Mus musculus: one gene and its partners. The protein of the gene in region 1 interacts with the protein of each later gene in a biochemical or structural test. Links are inferred from orthologs where the notes say so. Each region holds a gene or a part of one and is shown in the gene's direction. Other genes may lie near its edges.

The links.
Region 2: the proteins of Grb2 (region 1) and Ptpra form a complex in vitro, tested with the Homo sapiens proteins (3 studies listed by BioGRID and IntAct). The link is inferred for Mus musculus from reciprocal best matches to the Homo sapiens genes GRB2 and PTPRA.
Region 3: the proteins of Grb2 (region 1) and Mapk9 form a complex in vitro, tested with the Homo sapiens proteins (2 studies listed by BioGRID). The link is inferred for Mus musculus from reciprocal best matches to the Homo sapiens genes GRB2 and MAPK9.

What each region holds. Positions count from the first base shown.
Region 1 is NC_000077.6:115,643,480-115,646,658, reverse strand, and holds the end of Grb2 (growth factor receptor-bound protein 2), read left to right. Parts: intron 1-704; coding exon 705-890; 3' UTR 891-2,614; downstream 2,615-3,179. UniProt on the Homo sapiens protein: Non-enzymatic adapter protein that plays a pivotal role in precisely regulated signaling cascades from cell surface receptors to cellular responses, including signaling transduction and gene expression.
Region 2 is NC_000068.7:130,540,652-130,544,303, forward strand, and holds part of Ptpra (receptor-type tyrosine-protein phosphatase alpha isoform 2 precursor), read left to right. Parts: intron 1-643; coding exon 644-779; intron 780-1,655; coding exon 1,656-1,805; intron 1,806-3,139; exon of another isoform or gene 3,140-3,418; coding exon 3,419-3,512; intron 3,513-3,652. UniProt on the Homo sapiens protein: Tyrosine protein phosphatase which is involved in integrin-mediated focal adhesion formation.
Region 3 is NC_000077.6:49,867,167-49,870,818, forward strand, and holds part of Mapk9 (mitogen-activated protein kinase 9), read left to right. Parts: intron 1-2,005; coding exon 2,006-2,144; intron 2,145-3,652. UniProt on the Homo sapiens protein: Serine/threonine-protein kinase involved in various processes such as cell proliferation, differentiation, migration, transformation and programmed cell death.

The sequences.
Region 1 (3,179 bases):
CACCACAGCGACTTCCTGTGTGCTCAGGCCGACCTCATGGCAGTGAGGCTCTGCAGTTGGCACTCAGGTGGTTGAGTCCCTGTGCAGCCAGCCTGTGAGGGATGCACTCAGTCCTCCTCACGTATGAGCAGGAGTTCTGGTTAGGACTGCCTCGTTTACAGCCCGAGTGAGGGAATGCTGAGAGTGTGTTCAAACCTGTTAAGAGGGGCTGGAGAGATGGCTCAGCGGGTAAGAGCACTGACTGTTCTTCCAAAGGTCCTGAGATCAAATCCCAGCAACCACATGGTGGCTCACAACCATCTGTAATGAGATCTGATGCCCTCTTCTGGTGTGTCTGAAGACAGCTACAGTGTACTTACATATAACAATAAATAAAATCTTTTTTTTTAAAAAAAAAAAAAAAAACCTGTTAAGAGAGCTCTGGCACACACAGCCCAAAGTGTTTGCTGCTCCCCACTAGCCAGTATTGGCTATTCTTAGTGACATGGGTATATATACCCTTGTGGGTTTTAAATGTTAATAAAGGATTCCTCTAATCCCACCTAGGACTTAGGAGTGTGTCAGAGCGGAGGGAGTGAGGTATGAGGCTTCTTTGGAAAGTGGGCGGGTTCCCACATGCTTGCCCTCCCTGGGGGAGCCAGGAGTCCAGCTTCCAAGGCCGCCTGGCAGCATGAGAAACACCGCTTCCCTGCTCTCTCTTGCAGCAGCCAACCTACGTCCAGGCGCTCTTTGACTTTGACCCCCAGGAGGATGGCGAGCTGGGCTTTCGCAGAGGAGACTTCATTCATGTCATGGATAACTCAGATCCCAATTGGTGGAAAGGGGCCTGCCACGGGCAGACCGGCATGTTTCCCCGCAATTATGTCACCCCAGTGAACCGGAACGTCTAAGAAGCAAAAGAGATTATTTAAAGAAAGTGAAAAGTTAAGACCGTTCACAAGAATTACACCCACACGCTGCCTGTCACAGCCTGTGAGGGAACGCAGAACACCTGGCTGGGTCCCACGGGTGACCCTCTCATTGGGTTGCAACTTTGGGGGGTGGGGAGGGGTGTTTGATTTCATAATGCCAAAACTTAACCTATTGAATGAATTACAGTTTTTATTACGGAATCTCGCCGCTACCCCTGTTCCCCTCCTGTGTCCTTTTTCTCGTTCTTTCTTTCCTGTCCAGTGCATGATGTTTAAGGCCACATATAGTCCAGCTGATGCCAATAATAAAAGACAAGAAACCAAGTGGGCTGGTATTTTCTCTATGCAAAATGTCTGTGGAGATGGATGGACTGAAAGAGCCGGATTCCTCACACACAGGGGCAGCCAGTGCTTCTGGGGCCCTGGTTGGGGTTCACCCGAGATGCCCAGGGGTACCGCCTCCAGCCTCAGGCCTGGAGCATTCCATCAAAGTTGGAATTAGGGGAAGGAGGCCCACTGTCCTCCCCGGTCTCCTGAGAGTCAGACTGCAGGCCCTCCCCTCTCCCACTGCTTCCCTTCAGGTGTTTTGACGTTTTTTTGTTTGTTTGTTTGTTTTTTTTAAATAGTGCCTTTGTCTTATTTCAAGGGTGTTCATAAATGGTATTTGTACCATTTTTTTTTTTAATAAGTTAAAGACAGTCCAGAGCTTTTCAGTTGATTCGTCTCCTATCCTGTGTAAATATTTTCCTCTCAGGGCAGGGGAAAGAGGACAGAGAAAGGAGCTGGTAGAAGCAGAGAGTGTATTTCCCATCTTGAATGGGCCGGAGGTCTCGAAGCCTCAGCTTTTACTTTGTGAGCTGCAACACTCGCTTCAGCTCAGACTCAGTGGACATCAGAGTCTCTGTCTCCGTGTCTCAGTTATGGTCTGCTCTCTCTATGCCTGGAGCTACTGATCCAAACACAAGACGGTCAGAGGAGCCCTGGCATCCTTCACTCTTATAGGCCTACATGCAGATGGGCTTGAAGAGAATTGGCCTTTCATTTTTCACGCTCGTATTTCCCCACCTGTCCAAGGGTGCAGATAGCAGGATTGTGGGGTCGGCCGCATCTCTCTTGGCAGTGGGTTGTGCTGCCCCTCCCCCCACCCCACCCCTCCATCCCACAAAGCCTTTCGAGGTAGGAGAGACCAAGACCAGTGCACAGCTTTTTAACTCTTGTCTTCTGTGAGTTTTCCGTCCTCTGTAGTCACGTGCCTGCACACCGTTCTCTCCACCCTGCCTCCTTCCCACAGCAGAAGCAGGGCTCCACCCAGGCCTTCCCTTGGAGTCGGTGCATCCATGGGCTGCTAGACTCTTGCGGGTAGAGTCTCCCCTGGACTTAGCATTGTGAGATGGACTCAGCTCAGGGCGCCCCTAAGGCTCGGAGGCGGCCTTCTGGGTCCCCACCTCTCCTGGTTCCGCTGCTGCTCTCCCTGCTGATGATAAAGTAATCTCTGGAGTCACACCTGGGCCATGTGATTGTTTTATTTTGGAATTGGTGTATATCATGAAGCCTTGCTGAACTAAGTTTTGTGTGTATATATTTAAAGATCAGTGTTTAAATAAAAAAAAAAAAAAAACCAACTATGTACTTACTCTGACTTCTGCGGACAGCAATTTGGTAGGTAGTGATTAACTGTGAATAAACGTACAATGAGTTCTTAACTGTGTGTCTTCATTTCTCCCTGATGGTGTTTTCAGTTTATTTTTTTATTTATTTATTTTTTTCAAGGCAGGGTTTCTCTGTGTAGCCCTGGCTGTCCCAGAACTCACTCTGTAGACCAGGGTAACCTTGAACTCAGAAATCCGCCCATCTCAGCCTCCCAAGTGCTGGGATCACTGCCCGTCCTGATTTTATTTTATAGATGGGGTCTCACTATGTTGCCCTGGCTGGCCTCAAATTCGCAGAGATTCTCCTGCCTCTGCTCCCAAATGTTGAAAGTAAAGGCTTAGAGTATGTTAACTCTGGCCGGCATCTCCAGACCCTGTGAACCTAGGACGAGTGATGTAGCTCATTATGTGGAAAATGGTTTAGACAAGAACTCAGAAGAACCCAGAGCTGGGCTGGAAAGCTCCTCTTCCCTTCCGAGCTGAGGGTGTGGAAAGGCTAATCTCTGAGGAAGTCGGTGAGGCAGCTACATGACACAGCCGTGACAGTGGTCTTTTGGGTGAGACAAAGTTGGTAACCACACGGTGCTGGCTATGACGCGGTAAGGGTTGAGGCTTGAAC
Region 2 (3,652 bases), on another chromosome or scaffold:
CAGTGTGGCCTGACTCTTGCCACTTTCTGCCCCCTTGGCCAGTAAGGGGTCAGCGCAGGGACCTGACCCAGGGGGCTGACACAGAAGACATGCATAGCTGGGACCCCAGGCAGCAGCCAGAAGGAATCCTCCAGCTCTGTTCTGAGGTGGAGAATATGACCGGGGAGTTAGGCAGCTTACTCTGGTTCTGAAATAACTATGAAGGAAGACTTGAGTCAGAGACTATGTCTTACCTCCAAAAGCTGCATTTGCAGTTATAGAAATTGTTCCCTGGCTCCCATTATTTTCAGTATATACCCCTGACAATGCATGAGATAAAATCATCTGCTCTTGCTATTATATTTATTGGCGTTAATGTACCTTTCTTCTTAGGAGGGCAGCCCTCCTTGGTCTGGAGTAGAGAGACCACACTGTGAAGCCAGTTGGCTGACTCAGTTCCCTTGACAACTTGAGACCCTTAAATATCAGGGTACCCAGGCTCTGATAACTAGAGACCAGGAACTCCTAGCTCAGTAGGATTGTTGACACTAGCTCAGTGTTCTGTCCCATTAGGAATTACAGTTTGTCTGCTTGGAGCCCCCTGAGCTGTGCACTCTGCCCTGCCTGCCCCTGAACGCACTAACCCCATGCTCTCTGGCTACAGTGCAGGTGTAGGGCGCACTGGCACCTTTGTTGTCATCGATGCCATGCTGGACATGATGCATTCGGAACGCAAAGTGGATGTATACGGGTTTGTGAGCCGGATCCGGGCCCAGCGCTGCCAGATGGTACAGACAGACGTGAGTGACCAGCGGGTGAGGCAGGGGAAAGGCTTTCTATTGCCAGGACGCCTGCCTGCTCTGAGGACTCCATTGTGCATGGGCATCATACAGTGTGTATGCACATGCATGGAACGCATGTGTTGATCAAAGGACAGATTACATGTTAGTTCCTTCCTTCTGCCATATACGTAAAGAAAGTAGGCATGGGGATTGGAGAGGTGGCTCAGTGGTTAAAAGCACTAGCTTTTCTTCTAGAATATCCAGGTTTAGTTCCCAGCAGCCACATGGAATGGAAGCTAACAACTATCTGTAACAGTGTCTCCAGTTCCAGGAGACACAACACCCTCTTGTAGCCTGTAGAAACTAGTATGCACATAGTATTTACACATACATACATGAGGCAAAACACTCATACACATAAAATAAATAAAAATCTTTTTAAAAGGAAATAGCGCATACAAGAGGTTGTAGCTCCGTGGCTGGGGGAAACAGAAAGGTGGCTGTTGTTTCTATTGGACCTTAAGGATAAGGGAACAGTTGGTATTGAATGCAAACGTGCTAGGGCCCACAGTCATGATGCTGCTAAGTCCAAGAGCAATAGTGAGACTCTGGGCACATCACAGACCCGGGATGGATCCAGGCTGGTCTGCCCTGCAGACCTTGCAGGCTCCAGACTTTGGTATCCGCCAGGCCAGAACCATGTCTCCCAACCTAACCGCCCCACCCTCAGGAGAACTCATGCATTTCAAGTGCTGCGTCACTGTATTGGGACAGTATGAATGACAAGTCTATCCCTGCTAAAATCAGAGGGAAAGTGCACTGAGTAAAGCTAGCCCTGGGAGTGATCTGGTGCCATGCTGTTGGTAACTGAGACCTCTGTGATCCACATTTCAGATGCAGTACGTCTTCATATACCAGGCCCTTCTGGAGCATTATCTGTATGGGGACACAGAACTGGAAGTGACTTCTCTAGAAACCCACCTACAAAAAATTTATAACAAGATCCCAGGGACGAGCAACAACGGGTTAGAGGAGGAGTTTAAGGTGAGTTGAAGCTGGACAGTGTCCAAACAGAAGGGACCACATGGTCTTAAAAAAAAAAAAAAAAAAAAGGATCTAGGAAAAATGCTAATTCTGTGAGAGCCATGGCCAGTGGTAGTTGAGTGTGTCCTGCGTGATAAAGTCACTTGAACTGTCTGTAAGGGAAGTGAATAGAAACAGTATTTCCTTACACCTCTCAGCACCCCTCGGTGATTCTCATGTTCAGCAGTGTAAAAGGCAGGCCATGCAGTATTCCAACAGCTCGATACTGCCGTTGTAACACAGAAGCGCCCAGAGACAAGGGAACCAATGGCTTAGGCTGTTATTTCCAGGTAATAGGCAATGTTGGGCCCATGAACCCTAGGTTGCCGACCACTACTGATGCGATTAGACAGTGACTTAACACTTAGGCCTGTGACTAGGGGGTTAACTTGGTGATAGAACGTATGCATAGCATGTGGCTGTGGCGTCAATCCCCAGAAGCCTTCTGCTCCCCCCAAGAGTAAACAGATAAAACCCATGTCATATTCTCATGGAGAAGTACTCCTAGAATCCAGGCATGGTAGTTCACCCCTGTAATCCCAGCATAGACAAGAGGATCTCTGAATTTGATGCCAGCAAGCTCCAAGGCAGCCAGAACTACATAGAAAGACCTATCTCAAAATACAAACAAACAAAAATGAAGTTCCCAAGCCTAAGCTGAGCCGAGGGCTACAGGCCAACAATTACAGCTATGTGGGAGTCTGGGGCAGGAAGATTACAAGACTATCTCAAAATCTAAGAAATGGAATCGAGCTGTGTGTGGTGGTGCACACCTTTATCCCAGCACTTGGGAGGCAGAGGCAGGTAGATTACTAAGAATTTGAGGCCAGCCTGGTCTACAGAGTAAGTTCCAGAACAGGGTGGGCTATGTAGAGAGGCCCTGTCTAAAAAGACAAGGCAGTGTGATGAGTGTGCTCTCAGGCGTGAGACAGGTGGTAAATGCGGAGACAGAGAGCCAATCACCTTAAAGCGTCCTTATTGCACTGCAGTGTATACTTGATTCGCTGGGATGCTGCACAAGCTTGACAACTCGAGTTTGGATGTCCAGCACCCTTATGAAAACTGCATGATGGGGTGTGCCCGTAACCCCACTATTGGGGAAACAGCCAGGAAAAGGGACAGACACTGGCCAATCAGCCAGCTAACTGCAACAGCAAACTCCAGGCTCTGTGAGAGGACCCTGTCTCAAAAAGTACGGTAGAGAGTATAGGTCACCAACCTCAACCTCTGGGCTCCACATGCATACATTAAGGAACATACCCAAGCAGACAAGGAAACAACCTCAGAACCAGGAAGAAAGAATAGAATTTGAATATTTTTCTAAATGGCAGAAAAGTGGCCCAGAAAATTCAGGGTTAGAGGAATCTCAGGAAGTTCCACAGGAGCCTAGAAGGTGTTGCTTCTCAAACATTCTTTTGACTCCTTACTAAACTTAAAGCCAGAAATGACATTTGGAAATGGAGCCGAGCACTGTAGGGAAGAAGGTCGGGGCCTGGAGGTGTGGTCTTAGTGAGTGGCGGGAGTCTCTCAGGTTCTTCACTGGGAGCAATAGTCACTCTTCTTTCTTCATTCAGAAATTAACTTCAATCAAAATCCAGAATGACAAGATGCGCACGGGAAACCTTCCAGCCAACATGAAGAAGAACCGGGTTTTACAGATCATTCCATGTAAGTTCTCCTCCCCTCCCCCAGGCTCACTGCTTCAGCCCCCAGTTCCCGCACACTCCAGCTCCTCGGGCCTTGCGATTGGCCTGAAGTCAAGAGTCACAGCACTGCCTCTGATTCTCTCAGTTCTTTAGTGGTTTCAG
Region 3 (3,652 bases), about 66 Mb from region 1:
GTTGCTTTTAATCTAAGGCTGTGAGCCTGAGGACTCAGAGCTGTAGTATATAAGGCCTAGCATTCTGATTCCAAAACATGAAAGTCTGTTTCAGCTCTCAGAGGAGAGTCTCCTTCATTCTCTAGATTTGCTCATTCAGGATCTTGCTCTATGCTTTGTACTCAGTGCATTCAGACTCACATAATAATTACTACCCAAACACCCTCCAAAACACCCCTCACGTAAGGCTGCCAGCGCAGTATTCCTTGGCCTAGTCAAGTTGCTGACTTCAATTCCTCGTCACAGGGTAGATGGGGAAAGATCACAGTGAGGCAGTAGGAGAAAGGCTTAGGGGAGGAGCGGTTTGTTCTGCAGATACTGGGACAGAGTGGAATTGACATGGAAGGTGTAGCCAGAGTAAACGAGCAGCAGTGGAGCTTAGCTGGTGTGTGCTGCTACCCAGAGGTCTGGGTGGCTGGGTATGTGTGACAAGGGGGTATGGCTTAGAGAAGTAGCATGCATATAGGAAAGGAAGCCAGAGTGAGATTTCCCACATAGCAGTGATCTTACCTGACATATTTTAAAAGAACACTTGGTTTTGAGGGGCTGAGAATCCACTGTGAGAGGTAGGACAAAAAGGCCTAGTTAGTATGGGGAGGCAATCACTGCAGTTCATATGAGAGGTTCAAGTGGGTAATGGGAAGGGCTTGAGATTAGACACCAACACTGTCTGAGGGTGAGGCCTAGCATCTGCCGATGCTAGATGTGAGAGAGAAATTGAAAGCCACACATAAAGGCTTTTGGCTGAGATATGGAGAACTATGAGAGGACCAGACTTGGGGTGCTAAGTAGCTAGACTCACAAGTAGTTTTAGACATGAATTCAGAGACACTATTGACTGTCCAAGTGGAACAGTGAAGTGGGTAGAGAGGAAAGAACCTGGTGTTCAGGAGGGGCCTGGATTAAAGGAATGGAAGAATAATCTATAAATGGTCCTTCAAGGCACAGCAACCTGGATAGCACCAAGACAGGAACAGTGAGAGGAGAGCCAGGATCTGACTCCAGCCGCTCCAACAAAAGGAAGCAATTAGGCACAGAAAGCAGCCAAGTTCTTAGCACTGGCCTTTGGGTCTCTGCAGATGTGGAAGTCATCAGTTTGGGCAGACACTAGGCATATGCTGAGTCAGAATGTCATGACAAGCAGTGGAGGGGAGTTAGAGATGATGTGTCTAAGCACCTCTGTGGGCTTGGGGTGGGGCTATTATGCTGCTGGTGGACCGTGAGCTTGAAAGTTGTATGGTCAGCCTTAAAAGACAGATTTCACCTAGGGGATGGTAGCACATACCTTTAATCCCAGCACTCAGGAGGCAGAGGAGAGGGATCTCAGAGTCTGTGGCCAGCTTGGTCTACAGAGAGTTCCAGGACAGCCAGGGCTACCCAGAGAAACCCTGTCCTGTCTGAAAAAGCCAAAAAAAAAAAAAAAAAACACCAAAAATCACCAGAAAAAAAAAAAAGGTTTCATTTTTTATAGCAGTCCAAATACATAACCAACCTGTTCGGAAAGTTCAGAGTTCCATTTACCCGCTGTATAAACCCTCTACATTAGCAGCCCTGCCAGAATCATGTATTGTTAAAGAGCAAGAATCTACAGCAGCATGGTATAGATGTTGAAAGGATGATCTAACAAAAGATAGATAGGTGGACAGACAGACAGACACATGGGTTAATAAAAGTAGAAAAGTTTGTACGAGATTGTTTCCATGGTTAAAAAAAAGTTCTGTTTATAATTTGAAAGGCAGAAAAACAATGAGTAAGTTAGTTGTTTGTATATTCTTTGGGTAATTTTACAGACTCCTATTATATATTTGATTCTTTTCAAGCTACTTTATTAAAAGTGCTTTTACTTCCAGCATGCAGTGTTAATACCCCGTCGGTACTGCTTCATAATGATTGTGAGCTAAGACTCATGAAGGAATGTTTAAAAATATTACTAATGAGTGTGGTTGGTCTCTTTTTGAATACTCAGGTACTTGGTAATGGAACTAATGGATGCTAACTTATGTCAGGTTATTCATATGGAACTGGACCATGAGAGAATGTCCTACCTTCTCTACCAGATGCTCTGTGGCATCAAGCATCTGCATTCAGCTGGTATCATTCATAGAGTGAGTAATCACATAACTGTATTTTTAAAAGGACCATTTGGTCGTCAGTCATCTAGTTACAAAAGAACTTAATGTTTTTATGTATGAGTGTTTGTGTGGTGTATGTGCACATGTGTGAGTGCACACTTATTCATGTGTGTTTAAAGGCCACGAGGTCAGTTTTGGCCTTATTTCCTGAACCTGGAGGGAGGCTGGTGGTCTCCTGACTCCGCCTCTCCGACACCCCCAGCACTGGTTTCCAGTTCCATGTGTAAGCACCCTGGCCTTTCACATGGCCGCCGGGGGTTTGAGTTCAGTTCCTGGTGCTTGTGCTCACTCCCTGATCCATCCCCACCCTAAGAACGTCTTTTTCTTCTTTTTAAAGTTTGGTACTTTGAGAGTCCAGGTTAAGCCGTGGAGTCATACTGTGTACAAAACACTGTTCAGATCAGCTTTTCCCCTCAGCCACTGTAAACACAGAGGTAGGGGGCCACCCTACTGCAGAACAATCTTGGTTTTCTGGTTTAGCCTTCCAGTTTGTAGTAACTTTTTTTTTCTATGTAGCCCCAGCTGTCCTGGCACTCACTCTGTAGACCAGGCTGGCCTCAAACTCAGTGATCCTCCTGCCTCTGTTGCCAAAGGCCTGTGCTGGCTTCCCTTCCCTTGTGCACCCCCATAACCAGGTTTTTCAAAGTGTAGCCTTTGCTGCCACCAAGTGGTCATTCCAAGCAATAGACCTTCTGATGGTAAAGTTCACTTTTAAATAGTAACTAAGATTCCTAATGAATCATTCTATTTCTAAAAATTCCCCCAGACCTCCAAATAACTGAGGCCACTTTTTAGTTTTATTTAGGACACTGAATTTTCCATCAACAATATGATGCTTATTTTCTTCCCTCATGCAGAAGGCTTTTTAAAAGTGTATTTATTTTTATTTTATGTATGGATGTTTTGTCTGCATTTATGTCTGTGTACCACATGCATGAATGGAGGCCAGGAAAAGGCATCAGATCCCTTGGAACTAGAGTTCCAGATAGTTGTAAGCCACCGTGTGAGTGTTGGGACCTGAAACAAGGTCCTCTGGAAGAGCGGCCAGTGCCCTTAACCACCGAGCCATCTCTCCACCCTCGCCCCTCTTCCTGTAGGCATTCTTATTGTCTCTTAACTGTTGCTTTTTGTGTGGTGCTGAGATGGAGCCTCAGATGCTGCTCATAGGAGGCAATGCTTTACTACTGAGCTATGGCCGTCAGCCTTACAATACACGTTTAATGAAATGTATGCTTTATGATAACTTCCCAGATTTACAAGCTGTATTGATTTTTGAGGGGACTGTTTTCCCTTACTTGGAGCCGGAGGTGAGGGCAGGAGAATGCCCCTACTTCCTGGAAACTTCATGAGACTATGGCGTGTACTTGCCTTTTGTGGAATGTTTGGTCCTTTAGCCTACAAGCAGGTGAGACAGAGCCCAAAGTAGTGTATGTTTTGCTTAGCACAGTGTTTAGAATCCATGATGATCTGAGACAATGTTG